Macaca mulatta: one gene and its partners. The protein of the gene in region 3 purifies or fractionates together with the protein of the main gene of each other region. This does not show direct contact. Links are inferred from orthologs where the notes say so. Each region holds a gene or a part of one and is shown on either strand. Other genes may lie near its edges.

Region 1 (4,142 bases), on a different chromosome or scaffold from region 3:
TCCCGGGTTCAAGTGATTCTCCTGCCTCGGCCTCCCAAGTAGCTGGGATTACAGGCGCCTGCCACCACGCCCAGCTAATTTTTGTATTTTTAGTAGAGACAGGGTTTCACTACCTTGGCCAGACTGGTCTTGAACTCCTGACCTCATGATCCACCCACCTCAGCCTCCCAAAGTGCTGGGAACAGGCATGAGCCACCAAGCCCGGCCCTGTTTTTTGTGGTTTTTTTTTTTTGGGACAGAGTCTTGCTCTGGAGTGCAGTGGCGCCATCTCAACTCACTGCAACCTCCGCCTCCCGGGTTCATGCCATCCTCCTGCCTTAGCCTCCCAAGTAGCTACAACTACAGGCGCCCGCCACCATGCTCAGCTAATTTTTTTTTTTTTTTTTTTTGAGACGTAGTCTAGCTCTGTGGCCCAGGCTGGAGTGCAGTGCCCGGATCTCAGCTCACTGCAAGCTCCGCCTCCCGGGTTTTTTTACGCCATTCTCCTGCCTCAGCCTCCCCAGTAGCTGGGACTACAGGCGCCCGCCACCTCGCCCGGCTAGTTTTTTGTATTTTTAGTAGAGACGGGGTGTCACCGTGTTAGCTAGGATGGTCTCGATCTCCTGAACTCGTGATCTGCCCGTCTTGGCCTCCCAAAGTGCTGGGATTACAGGTTTGAGCCACCGCGCCCGGCCTTTTTTTTTTTTTTTGAGACGGAGTCTCGCTCTGTCGCCCAGGCTGGAGTGCAGTGCGCGGATCTCAGCTCACTGCAAGCTCCGCCTCCCGGGTTTACGCCATTCTCCTGCCTCAGCCTCCCGAGTAGCTGGGACTACAGGCGCCGGCCACCTCGCCCGGCTAGTTTTTTGTATTTTTTAGTAGAGACGGGGTTTCACCGTGTTAGCCAGGATGGTCTCGATCTCCTGACCTCGTGACCCGCCCCTCTCGGCCTCCCAAAGTGCTGGGATTACAGGCTTGAGCCACTGCGCCCGGCCTCAGCTAATTTTTTGTATTTTTAGTAGAGATGGGGTTTCACCGTGTTAGACCGTCAGGATGGTCTCGATCTCCTGACCTTGTGATCCGCCTGCCTCAGCCTCCCAAAGTGCTGGGATTACAGGCGTGAGCCACTGCACCCAGCCCTGTTTGTATTTTTAATAGAGACAGGGTTCTGCCATATTGGTTTCACCTCCTGACCTCAGGTGATCCACCTGCCTTGGCCTTCCAAAGTGCTGGGATTACAGGCGTGAGCCACTGCACCAGGCCAAGTGCTTCTTTTTCATCACCTTGATGGATACTCTTTAGTTCCACTGCAGATGAAAGCAGGGAAAAGTCAGCCAGTTTTCACCATATCACAGAGTGATCCAAAAGGTTAAACCACAGGCCCCACATAACTTAGCTCAGTTTACCCACATATCACTGTCAGCATGTCAGGACTCAGGCTGCCTCCTCTGTAAATTAACTCTGCCACTTTTGTGTGAATGGTTCTCTCTGCTGTGTTCCTAGTGTTTGCCATGTGTCTTTGGGAAAAAGACACATTCTCCCTTAGCTACCTTGAACAGATTAGCATATGCTGCACATAGGGAAGAACAGGGCATGCTAATTTAACATGTTCACTACCCACTTGTACCAGACTTTACACTTTCCCATAATCTCACTTTATTCCCACAACAGAGGGGGCAGTATTGTCTCCATTTTTAAAAAAGAGAGCTCAGGCCCTAAAACAAAAGTGACCTGATCAAGGTGACATGAGAATTAACAGCTATTACGCTGGTGGAGACGGGCTGGAAATCAGATTTCCTATTCTGAATAACATGCTCTTTTGCTTAAAATGAAAAACAGTGGACTTTACAGATCCTTTATCTCCAAAGGAAAGCTGGTTTGCTTGTTTACTGGTTACTTTTGCAAGTTGGCATTTAATCATCACTGTTTTCTTGTTCAACTGAATGGTATGGGATCACAAATTGAGCCCTGCCCACCCATTCTCAAATTCAAACCTTTGCCCATGCTTCTCTGTGGACTATTCAAGCCAGCAACCCACCTCTCTAACATTGGGCATGTCCAGCAGTTCTCCAAACACGTAGACACCAGGGGCCTCCAGCACCTGATGGATGAGTGTGGCCAGCGCTGCCCCCTTGGCCGACTTGGCTAGGAGCAGAAATTGCTCCTGGTTCTGCCCTGTCACCTTCACTTCCGCACTCATGACTGCACTGAGCTGGGGGCACCTGGGCTCAGGATGTCCAGAGCTGCAAGGAAAGAGAATGTGAAGCTAGAGATCCCCGATGGCTGGTAGGATGGGAAGCACAAGGCTGAAGGACTGGATTGTATAGGTACTAAGTCGGTTCTGCGGTGAGGAATCACACATGGAGCGGTCTAGAATTCTGATCTACAAATCCTAGTCAGCCACTTCACAAGGCTGCCACACCCACCCCCTCCCCTGAGCCTAACCCCAAGCCCCATCATGTGCACCGCCACTGAACCCTAAGACAGGATGCAACGGAGAAAGGGGTGTCGCATGGTATCCACACTAACGACGACGCTCCCTCAGTTCTCCACTCCTGCCCCGCACGCGCCCACAACCACGTGACCTCACCCCAATGAAGCTTACACGTGGCTCCGCCCCCTCCCTTAAAGACACCGCCCAGCGACCGTGGGCTCCCGCCGACTGCTTCGTCGTACCCTGGGTCAGGCTCTGCGGGCCGCTACCTGGAAGCTTCGCCCTCCAGCGCACCGGGCGGGGCCGCCGCTCCGTCACCTCCGGCAGCTGTTCCAAGCCTTTCCTGCCACCTCCCTGAAGAGTCGCTCTGGCCACTAAACTCTATGGCGGGCTTCCGGCCGTACTTCCGCTCTAAGGACGCAAATTTCGGCAGGACATGCCCCGCCCCCGCGTTCCAACCGCTGAAGCTCCAGTGAGGGACGCAAGCATTCTACTCTCCGATTGGTCGCCGGGGGAAGAATGACGGGCGCCTTTTTAAATACTGTATTTCAATAAAACTTTATTAGTGGAAGAGCGCTAGCCACTAAACACAGACGTCTTTGGCGGGTCCCCTGGTCTCGGCCGACTCTGTGTTTGTTCTAAGCCGCTGGAGAGCTGGAGATCAGGACTGCCCTGGGTGCCTGAGGCAAGAGAAAAGCTGTAATGGAATGAGTGAAGAAGCGGGAAAAAAACGGGATGGGGGAGTAAGGGGCAGAGAGGAAGTAAACAATAATCAATAATAGAAGTTTAGCAGCAGAGATCACCTAGGTCGTTCAACCACTCACTTTTTTGAAGAGCAGGAGAAAAGAAGTGAGAAGAGTAAAAGATAATAATTGCTAACATGTATTGAGTGCTTACTATTGGTCAGACATCTTTTAAAATTTTATTCCGTTGAATCCTCACAAATATTCCCAGTGTGACTTCAGGACACCCTCTACCATGATTACTATATATGTATTAATACTTGTAGAATGATGCTTTCAGTACATGGACTCTTAGTTTCTTGGGGCGGAAAAACCCCTATGTTACTCATTTTACAGAAAAGGAAATTGAGACTCATAAAAATCCAAGGATTTATCTGGAGCTTTTCAAACTCAAAACCATCTTTCTACTTCAACATACTTTAATAAAAACAAAAACAACTAACATTTATATAGTGTTTTATATTTCACAGCAGGCTTGCAGAAGGTCAAGTGAGGGTAAAGTTAATGACATCTTGGCCTTTGTGTTAAGCTACGAGCATTACTTAATTCATCTGATACAACAATCTAGTAATTGTTATCTCCACTTTCCAGATGGAAAAACTGAGACTCAGGAAAATTAAGAAACTTATAAGTAATGGAAAGACAAGAAAGTGAAAAAGAGAAAGATAAAGAGAAATAGAACTCGTAGTCTGTTAGGGCTAAAGGAACTGCAGATGCAGTTTATGGTCCACATATTTTGGTTTGTAATAGAAAATAAGCAGAAACACAGAAAGGAAAGGGAAAGGAGGAAGAGGAGAAGAAGAAATGAATGGAAAAGGTGAAACAAAAGTGAGAAGGAATCAAAGGCATAATAAAATATTAAAACTTTGAAGGAACCAAGGAATTAATGAGTCCAAACTTATTTTTTTTTTGCATCCACCCCTCCCCGCCCAAGCTTATCTTTTCTTTTTTATTTTTTTTTTGAGCCAGGATTTCGCTCTTGCCACCCA
Region 2 (3,649 bases), on a different chromosome or scaffold from region 3:
TACTAAAAATACAAAAATTAGCTGGGTGTGGTGGCATGCGCCTGTAATCCCAGCTACTTGGGATGTTGAGGCAAGAGAATTGCTTGGACCCAGGTGGTGGAGGTTGCAGTAAGCCAAGATCATGCTACTGCACTCCAGCATGGGCAACAGAGCAAGACTATGTCTTGTGGGTCGTGGGGGAAGGTATGTAATACAGTGGTTTTTAGTAAGAATTCTTATACTTTATAACTTTAACTTTTTAATATGGCTTCTTTAATCTTTCAAATCTTTCAAAGATTAGAAAGAATCTTTGTTCAGTAGAAATTATATATTTTGAGGGCTGCAGACATGCTAGTGTCAGCTGGCCCTGAACCCATCTTTATCTTGTCATAATTTTATATAGGCCAAGTATCTTGTACATTGAAAAAATGTTTAGGTTGTGTAAAAGGCAAATGACATGCTAGTTTGAAACATTAATAAAAAATGCAAAAAAAAAAAATTAAAAAATGCAAACATTCACCTAAATTCATATACTATTATTGTAAAAGCTATCATGAAATGTATTTTGTGCTTTTTTTCTCATCTGTAAAAAAGGGCCTTGGACTGGTTGATATCTATGGTTTCTTTCAGCCTCCTGAGTGCTGGGACTATAGGACTGTGCCACCTCATCTGGCTAACTTTTATAACATGTTTTGTAGAGATGGGGTCTCACTATGTTGCCCAGGCTAGTGTTGAATTCCTGTCCTCAAGCAATTCTCTCACTTTGGCTTCCCAAAGTGCTGGGATTATAGGTGTGAGTCACCATGCCTGGCCCAGATATCTTTTTAAATTACTTACTGTTTGCAGTGTACACCAAAATCTTCTATTTTATTAAGTGGGATAGTCTGGTACTCAGAAGGTCCTTCATCAGGAGGTTTGTAGCCCTAAACAAAAATGAGGCAAACAGAAGATTAAAAATATATATATATAAACGAGAAAAACATCATGTTTTCTATGCAGCTTTCTAATTACAGGATTATTAATTTTGGGAGGCAAATACTTAACATGAGCATTCTAATAATAAAAAAAAAAATACTGTTTCTACTTTCCCCCTACCCTGTTTGGTGGCTATAGGCTGGATTTTGCTTACAGATTTATTTTTCTTCTCCTTAGGTGATGTACTTTTGTTCTAATTAACTATTTTAGATTGCAGGCTCCTGCCAGGGAAGGAAACAGACCTATAGATTTAGCTCGTTTTTTCTCTAGTACCTGTCAGAATGCCACAGGCACACAGATGGTTATTAAAGACTGCTTTCCCAGTAAAATTAACAATATATAACATAAATGTATTACCCTTTGCTAGGGACAGCTTGTGGTAGTTTACTATTTTGTAAATATTATTAAATTGTTTTAACAAAAAGAGATATTGCTAATGTCTTTAATAATAAGTCAAATATTTGGAATTTAAAACATGTAAGGACTTATAATTTTAAAAATTACTAAGCATTCCTACAGTCCCATCTACTTGGGAGGCTGAGTTGGCTTGAGCCTAGGAGATGAAGGCTGTAGTACACTATGATCATGCCTGTGAATAGCCACTGTACTCCAGCCTAGGTAACACAGTGAGACTCTATCTATCTCTTAAAAAAAAAAAAAAGTTACCTTTGGGTATGTCCTAAAGGCGCCAAGATTCACTTTCCCTGCAGATATTGTTCTTGTTGGATCAATCTATAAGAAAGATATATTTAATATTTACTGATATAAAACTGTATGCCTTTTATTGAAACATTATTAACCTAGAAATGTATACATACATATAACACTATATACATACACAATAACCAAATAAGAATAAACAAACCAAAAAACCAAAGAAGTTCAGTAAGAGGGTAATATAAGTGTCTCACAGCTAACTTAGAGATTAGAATTATTATAATATTTAAGAATATCATTTGAAGGTTTGCTCATCTCTTTTTAAAGTTTTCTTTTTTCCTTTTAAGAGATGAATAATTCCTACCTTCCTCATAAAACTGGATTGCACTTAAAACACCCTGAACATAATAAGAGCTGCTCTAGCAATTCCTGCTTATCTCAGATCAGTCAACACTGATTGAATGCCTATGATGAGCTGGCACTGAGACATAGATGCTATGACTATCCACATTTTATAGAGGGGGGAAGTGAGATACACAGTGGTTAAAAACACTTGCTCAAAGTCTCAGCTTCTAGGAGATGGAATTCACATTGAAACCTAGGCAGACTGACACCAGAGCAATTTCTCTTTACTACACTGTTATTATTTCTCATTATACTTGCTTCAGCAAATCTTCATAAAGAACTTAATTAAACTAGTTTTAAAATTCTTACCACCACTGCTACAAATGGTTCCTGGAACTGCTGATTGAGCATCTGAGTACTAACATCAATCCCAGAAAGCCAGCAGCCATAGCCAGGATGGCTATGATACCACCCGATTGCATTTTCAAGGCGGCCAACCTAACAAATGAAGGGGCAAAAAAGTTTAAGATTACTCTTTAATTAATTTATAAGGTACCAGTACAATAAAGGTAACCAGTCTCCTTCCCATCTCTTTCTCCTCAATTACCCAGTTTTATCAGCCCAGATGTGAAATCTATAGGCAATTGCTTACCCTTAGAGATATTCTTTGTATACAGAATACATATTCTTTGCATATATATAGATTGATAAAAACACACACAGTAGCATACCACGTAACAATAATAATGTTTTACACTTTGCTTTTTCACTCAATAAACTGCTTTGGAGTTTGCTTCACATAAGTCATCAATATACATGACGGTTACCTTTTTTTCTTTTTTTCTTTTAAAGGCTGCCTGGCAGTCCACTGATGGAATATACCATAATTTATTTAGCCAGTTTTATACTCAGTAACTGAGTTAGATTGTTTCCAAATTTTTTATTTTAAACACATATCTGGTAATAAGTGTGAGAGTTTATTTAAAAAAAAATAAAATCCATGCCATAGACCGGGTGCAGTGGCTCATGCCTATAATCCCAGCACTTTGGGAGGCTGAGGTGGGTGGATCACTTGAGGACAGGAGTGGCCAACACTCCTGTCCTGGCCAACACAGAGAAAACCTGTCTCTACTAAAAATACAAAAATTATGGAAGGGCATGGTGGCTCATGTCTGTAATCCCAGCACTTTGGTAGGCCAAGGTGGGCAGATCACTTGAAGTCAGGAGTTTGAGACCAGTCAGGCCAACACGGCAAAACCCATCTCTACTAAAAATACAAAAATTATCCAGGCCTACTGGTGCACGCCTGTAGTCCCAGCTACTCAGGAGGCTGAGGAGGGAGAATTGCTTGAGCCCAGGAGGTGGAGGTTGCAGTGAGCCAAGATCACGCCACTGCACTCTAGCCTGGGCAACAGAGCGAGTCCCTGTCTTGAAAAAAAAAAACACAAAAAACAAAAACAAAAAACCATGCTATAAATCTTATCAGGCTTTTAATCTCGTACATTTTACATATAAATCATTAAAATTTAAATATAACATTTCCTATAAAGGGGATAATTTTAAGTCTAGAAACTCAAAAGTCACCTTGAGACTCTAACTTGCACTTACTAAACTATAAGAAACAACATTTTTACCTGTTTGGCATTTTCTATGTATGCAGCCATGTATTCATATGCAGCAGCCTGAGCATTTA
Region 3 (3,649 bases):
CACGTTCCCCACGTTGTCTCCTGTGACCACCATTCGGCTACTGGCGGACACATCCAGGCTACAAAACCAGATGCTGGAGGGAAAGACTGTGTTGTAAGATTCTTGGGGACAGAGATAGGCCTGTTTACTCACTGTTGCTGCTCCAGTGACTAACCCACAGTGGGCATTCAATAAATATTTGTTGAATGAATGAATAACTGTCTTGCTGTGGATTCCTAGCGAGGAACATTCAGACTGCTCTACCGTCCAGACAGAGGGAATGGGGTAATGGGGCTCAGAAATCTGTCCGGTTACTGCTGGGCCCAGGATCCCCAGCTCCTAAGAGTCTCTGAAGCAGACAAAGCTCAAACCATAAAGCAAGCCTCAGGGCACGCCCGCCCCCACACCCCGGGTTCTAAGCAATCCTCCTTTACTGCTCTCTCCTTTCACTCTCCACCCTTTGGGCCAAAGGAGACACAAGCCAAACAGGGATTGCCTTGCTCTGTTCCTCAGAGCTGGCTGGAAAGGCACTTCTGCCCCCTTCTGAACACTGAGGGAAAAACACACAACCAGGAGCTCTTCTGGTCCCTCAAACCACTGGACTGGGAGGCTGACTAGGGGTGCTTCAGGGATCCTGCTATCCAGCCAGAGGAGCTCAGCTCAGTTTTTCTCTCAAACCCTCAAATCCATGCTACACTGACTTTTGCCATCCCTTATGAATATCTTCAAGCAAGAAGATTTCTTGCGGAAAACGAGCCTGGAGCCTCGTCTATCCAATCACCTGCTGAATTGCGCATGCACTCCTCATCCCTGCAGGACAGCCCAGGATCCCATCCAATGCTAGTTACACCCCAGCACCCTCACTTAATTCCTCAGGGAGCAGTCAGAGTCCCGGCTCTAGCTGGAAATCAAAGTGACGAGTATTTTGTAATTTTTTTTTTTTTTTTTTTGGAGATGGAATTTCACTCTTGTTGCCCAGGCTGGAGTGCAGTGGCGCAATCTCGGCTCACTGCAACCTCTGCCTCCTGGGTTCAAGCTACTCTCTTGCTTCAGCCTCCCAAGTAGCTGGGAATTACAGGCACCTACCACCACATCCGGCTCATTTTTTGTATTGTTAGTAGAGATGGGGTTTCACCATGTTGGCCAGGCTGGTCTTGAACTCCTGACCTCAGGTGATCCACCCACCAGGCATGAGCCACTGCACCCAGCTGCATTCTGTAATTTCTCCAGCCACTTTCTCTTGGGAAGTTCAGAGCACTTTATGGACAAGATTCCATCCATGTAAGCTTGCACCCAGGAACGGCTCAGGTCATTACACCACAGCGAGTGCAGGGAATTCAGTCTCAAGTTCTTAGCTGCTGCTCCATTCTCTAGGTGGCTTTCTGGGCCTATGCCATGCTGGCTTATCTAGTGAAGGTCCAGGTCTAGTCTAATACAGGTATGACTTACAGAAGAGCTGAGGCTCCAGAACACCTTCCCAAAGCAGTAACCCACCTGGACCAAAGTGAGGGTGGCCAAGGAACAGTTTGAGAAAGAGAAAGAAGGGCGGAAGGTGGCTGACATCTTTCCTTTCTTCCCTGTGCCAGGTTGGGTTGAGGAAATGGGATCTGGATGCTCTTGCCGGAACTACACCTAAGCTTAGAAGCCCTTTCCCCACCTAGTTAAACTACTCACTTGATGGTGTCTGAGCTGGCAAAAACTCGTAGAATGTTGCCTTTAAAGTCTTGCAGCCTAGTTGTTCCCTCCATTGAGGAGGCGTAAAACTGGTTGGTATTGAGAGGGTTAAACTTCAGCCCAGTGATGCTCCCTCCAGCTCCAATCTAACATGAGGAAGGAAAAAGCCAGTGAGTGATGATGGGCCTGGCAGTGAGGAACCAGGCCTGGGCACGCGTGCTGCGCTGTCACGGAAGCACCAACGAGCAGTGCGTGGGGCCAGGTCAGCTCGGACACCTAAACACTAGGACGCTCTCCACAGAGCCTTCACTTCTTTTTCTTTTCCCTTGAAATAGGGTCTTTCTCTGTCACTTAGGCTGAAGTGCAGTGGCACGAACACGGCTCACTGCAGCCTCAATCTCCCAGGCTCAAACGATCCTCCTACCTCAGCCTCCCAAGTAGCTGGGACTACAGGTGCACACACCATGCCCAGTTCATTTTTGTATTTTTTTTTTTTTTTTTAAAGATGGGGTTTTGTCATGTTGCCCAGGCTGGTCTTGAACTCTTGAGTTCAAGCGATCTGCCCACCTCGGCCTCCCTAAGTGCTGGCATTACAAGTGCTAATTTTTAAAAAATTGTTGGTAGAGACAGGGTCTCATTGTGGTGCCCAGGCTGGTCTCGAACTCCTGAGCTCAAGTGATCCTCCTACCGTGGCTTCTCAAAGTGCTAAGATTATAGGCATGAGCCACTTTGCCTGGCCCCTTCTTTTCTTTTTCTTCCTTTCTTTCTTTCTCTTTCTTCCTCCCTCCCTCCCTCCCTTTCCTTTTTTTTGTTTTTTTTTTTTTTTGAGATGGAGTCCCACTCTGTCACCCAGGCTGGAGTGCAATGGCGTGATCCCAGCTCATTGCAACCTCTGCCTTCCAGGTTCAAGCGATTCTCCTGCCTCAGCCTCCCAAGCAGCTGGGATTACAGGTGCCCACCACCACGCATGGCTAAATTTTGTATTTTTAGAAGAGACAGGGTTTCACCATGTTGGCCAGGCTGGTCTTGAACTCCTGACCTCAGGTGATCCGCCAGCCTCAGCCTCCCAAAGTGCTGGGATTATAGGCGTGAGCCACTAAGTCTGGCCTCCCTTCATTTCTTAAGGCTTTATTTTTACTTTCTTTTTTTTAATTAACATATAGCAAATTTGGGGTATACAGTTCTCTGAATTTTAACATATGTATAGATTTAAATAACCACCACCCAAATCAAAATGCAGAACATTTGCAACAGCCCAAAAACTCCATTGTGCTATCCCATTGCAATCACACCCTCCCCTCGCCCCCAGCCCCTGGCTGATCTGTTCTCCATCACTATTGTTTTGCCCTCATAGAATGTCCAATAGACCAGGCACAGTAATCCCACCACCTGGGAGACTGAGGCGGGGGGACTGCTTGAGGCCAGGAGTTCAAGACCAGCCTGAGCAATATAGGGAGAACCCCCATCTCTACAAAAAAAAAAAAATATATATATATATATATACACACACACACACACACACACACATATATATATATATAGACATGGTGGTAGGTGCCTGTGGTTCTAGCTCCTCAGAAGGCTGAGGTGGGAGGATGACGGAACCCTGAAGGTCGAGGCTGCAGTGAGTTGTGATCGCATCACTGCACTCTAGCGTGGGTGACAGAGCAAGATCCTGTCTCTAAAAATAAAATTAAATTAAAAATAGAATTAAAAATAGAATGTCATGTAAATGAATTAGGCAGTATGCAACCTTTTGAGACTGTCTTGTTTCATGTCACTCATCATGCCTCTGAGATTCATCTGAGTTTGCTTTATCAACAAGCTCATCTCATTTTATTGCTGAGGTATTATTCCATTTTATGGATGTGCCCTAATTTGCTATTCCCACAGTCCTCTCTTTAGAAGAGCTTCAGCTCAGAGCAGTGGCGGAGTTAGGAGGGCAAGAGTCAGATCTGTGCCCCTTCCTATTCTTCCAGTCATCCCAGAAAATTAT

What was found.
Region 1: the proteins of DDB2 (region 3) and COPS7A purify together in Homo sapiens (affinity purification with mass spectrometry; 5 studies listed by BioGRID and IntAct, counting the BioPlex papers as one, with this or other methods). This does not show direct contact. The link is inferred for Macaca mulatta from reciprocal best matches to the Homo sapiens genes DDB2 and COPS7A.
Region 2: the proteins of DDB2 (region 3) and COPS5 purify together in Homo sapiens (affinity purification with mass spectrometry; 10 studies listed by BioGRID and IntAct, counting the BioPlex papers as one, with this or other methods). This does not show direct contact. The link is inferred for Macaca mulatta from reciprocal best matches to the Homo sapiens genes DDB2 and COPS5.

The regions. Positions count from the first base shown.
Region 1 is NC_133416.1:7,678,724-7,682,865, reverse strand, and holds the start of COPS7A (COP9 signalosome complex subunit 7a), read right to left. Parts: upstream 2,801-4,142; 5' UTR 2,680-2,800; exon of another isoform or gene 2,582-2,679; intron 2,220-2,581; 5' UTR 2,177-2,219; coding exon 2,015-2,176; intron 1-2,014.
Region 2 is NC_133413.1:77,749,718-77,753,366, forward strand, and holds part of COPS5 (COP9 signalosome complex subunit 5), read right to left. Parts: coding exon 3,591-3,649; intron 2,455-3,590; coding exon 2,326-2,454; intron 1,687-2,325; coding exon 1,621-1,686; intron 903-1,620; coding exon 817-902; intron 1-816. UniProt on the Homo sapiens protein: Probable protease subunit of the COP9 signalosome complex (CSN), a complex involved in various cellular and developmental processes.
Region 3 is NC_133419.1:18,365,648-18,369,296, forward strand, and holds part of DDB2 (DNA damage-binding protein 2), read right to left. Parts: intron 1,800-3,649; coding exon 1,654-1,799; intron 74-1,653; coding exon 1-73.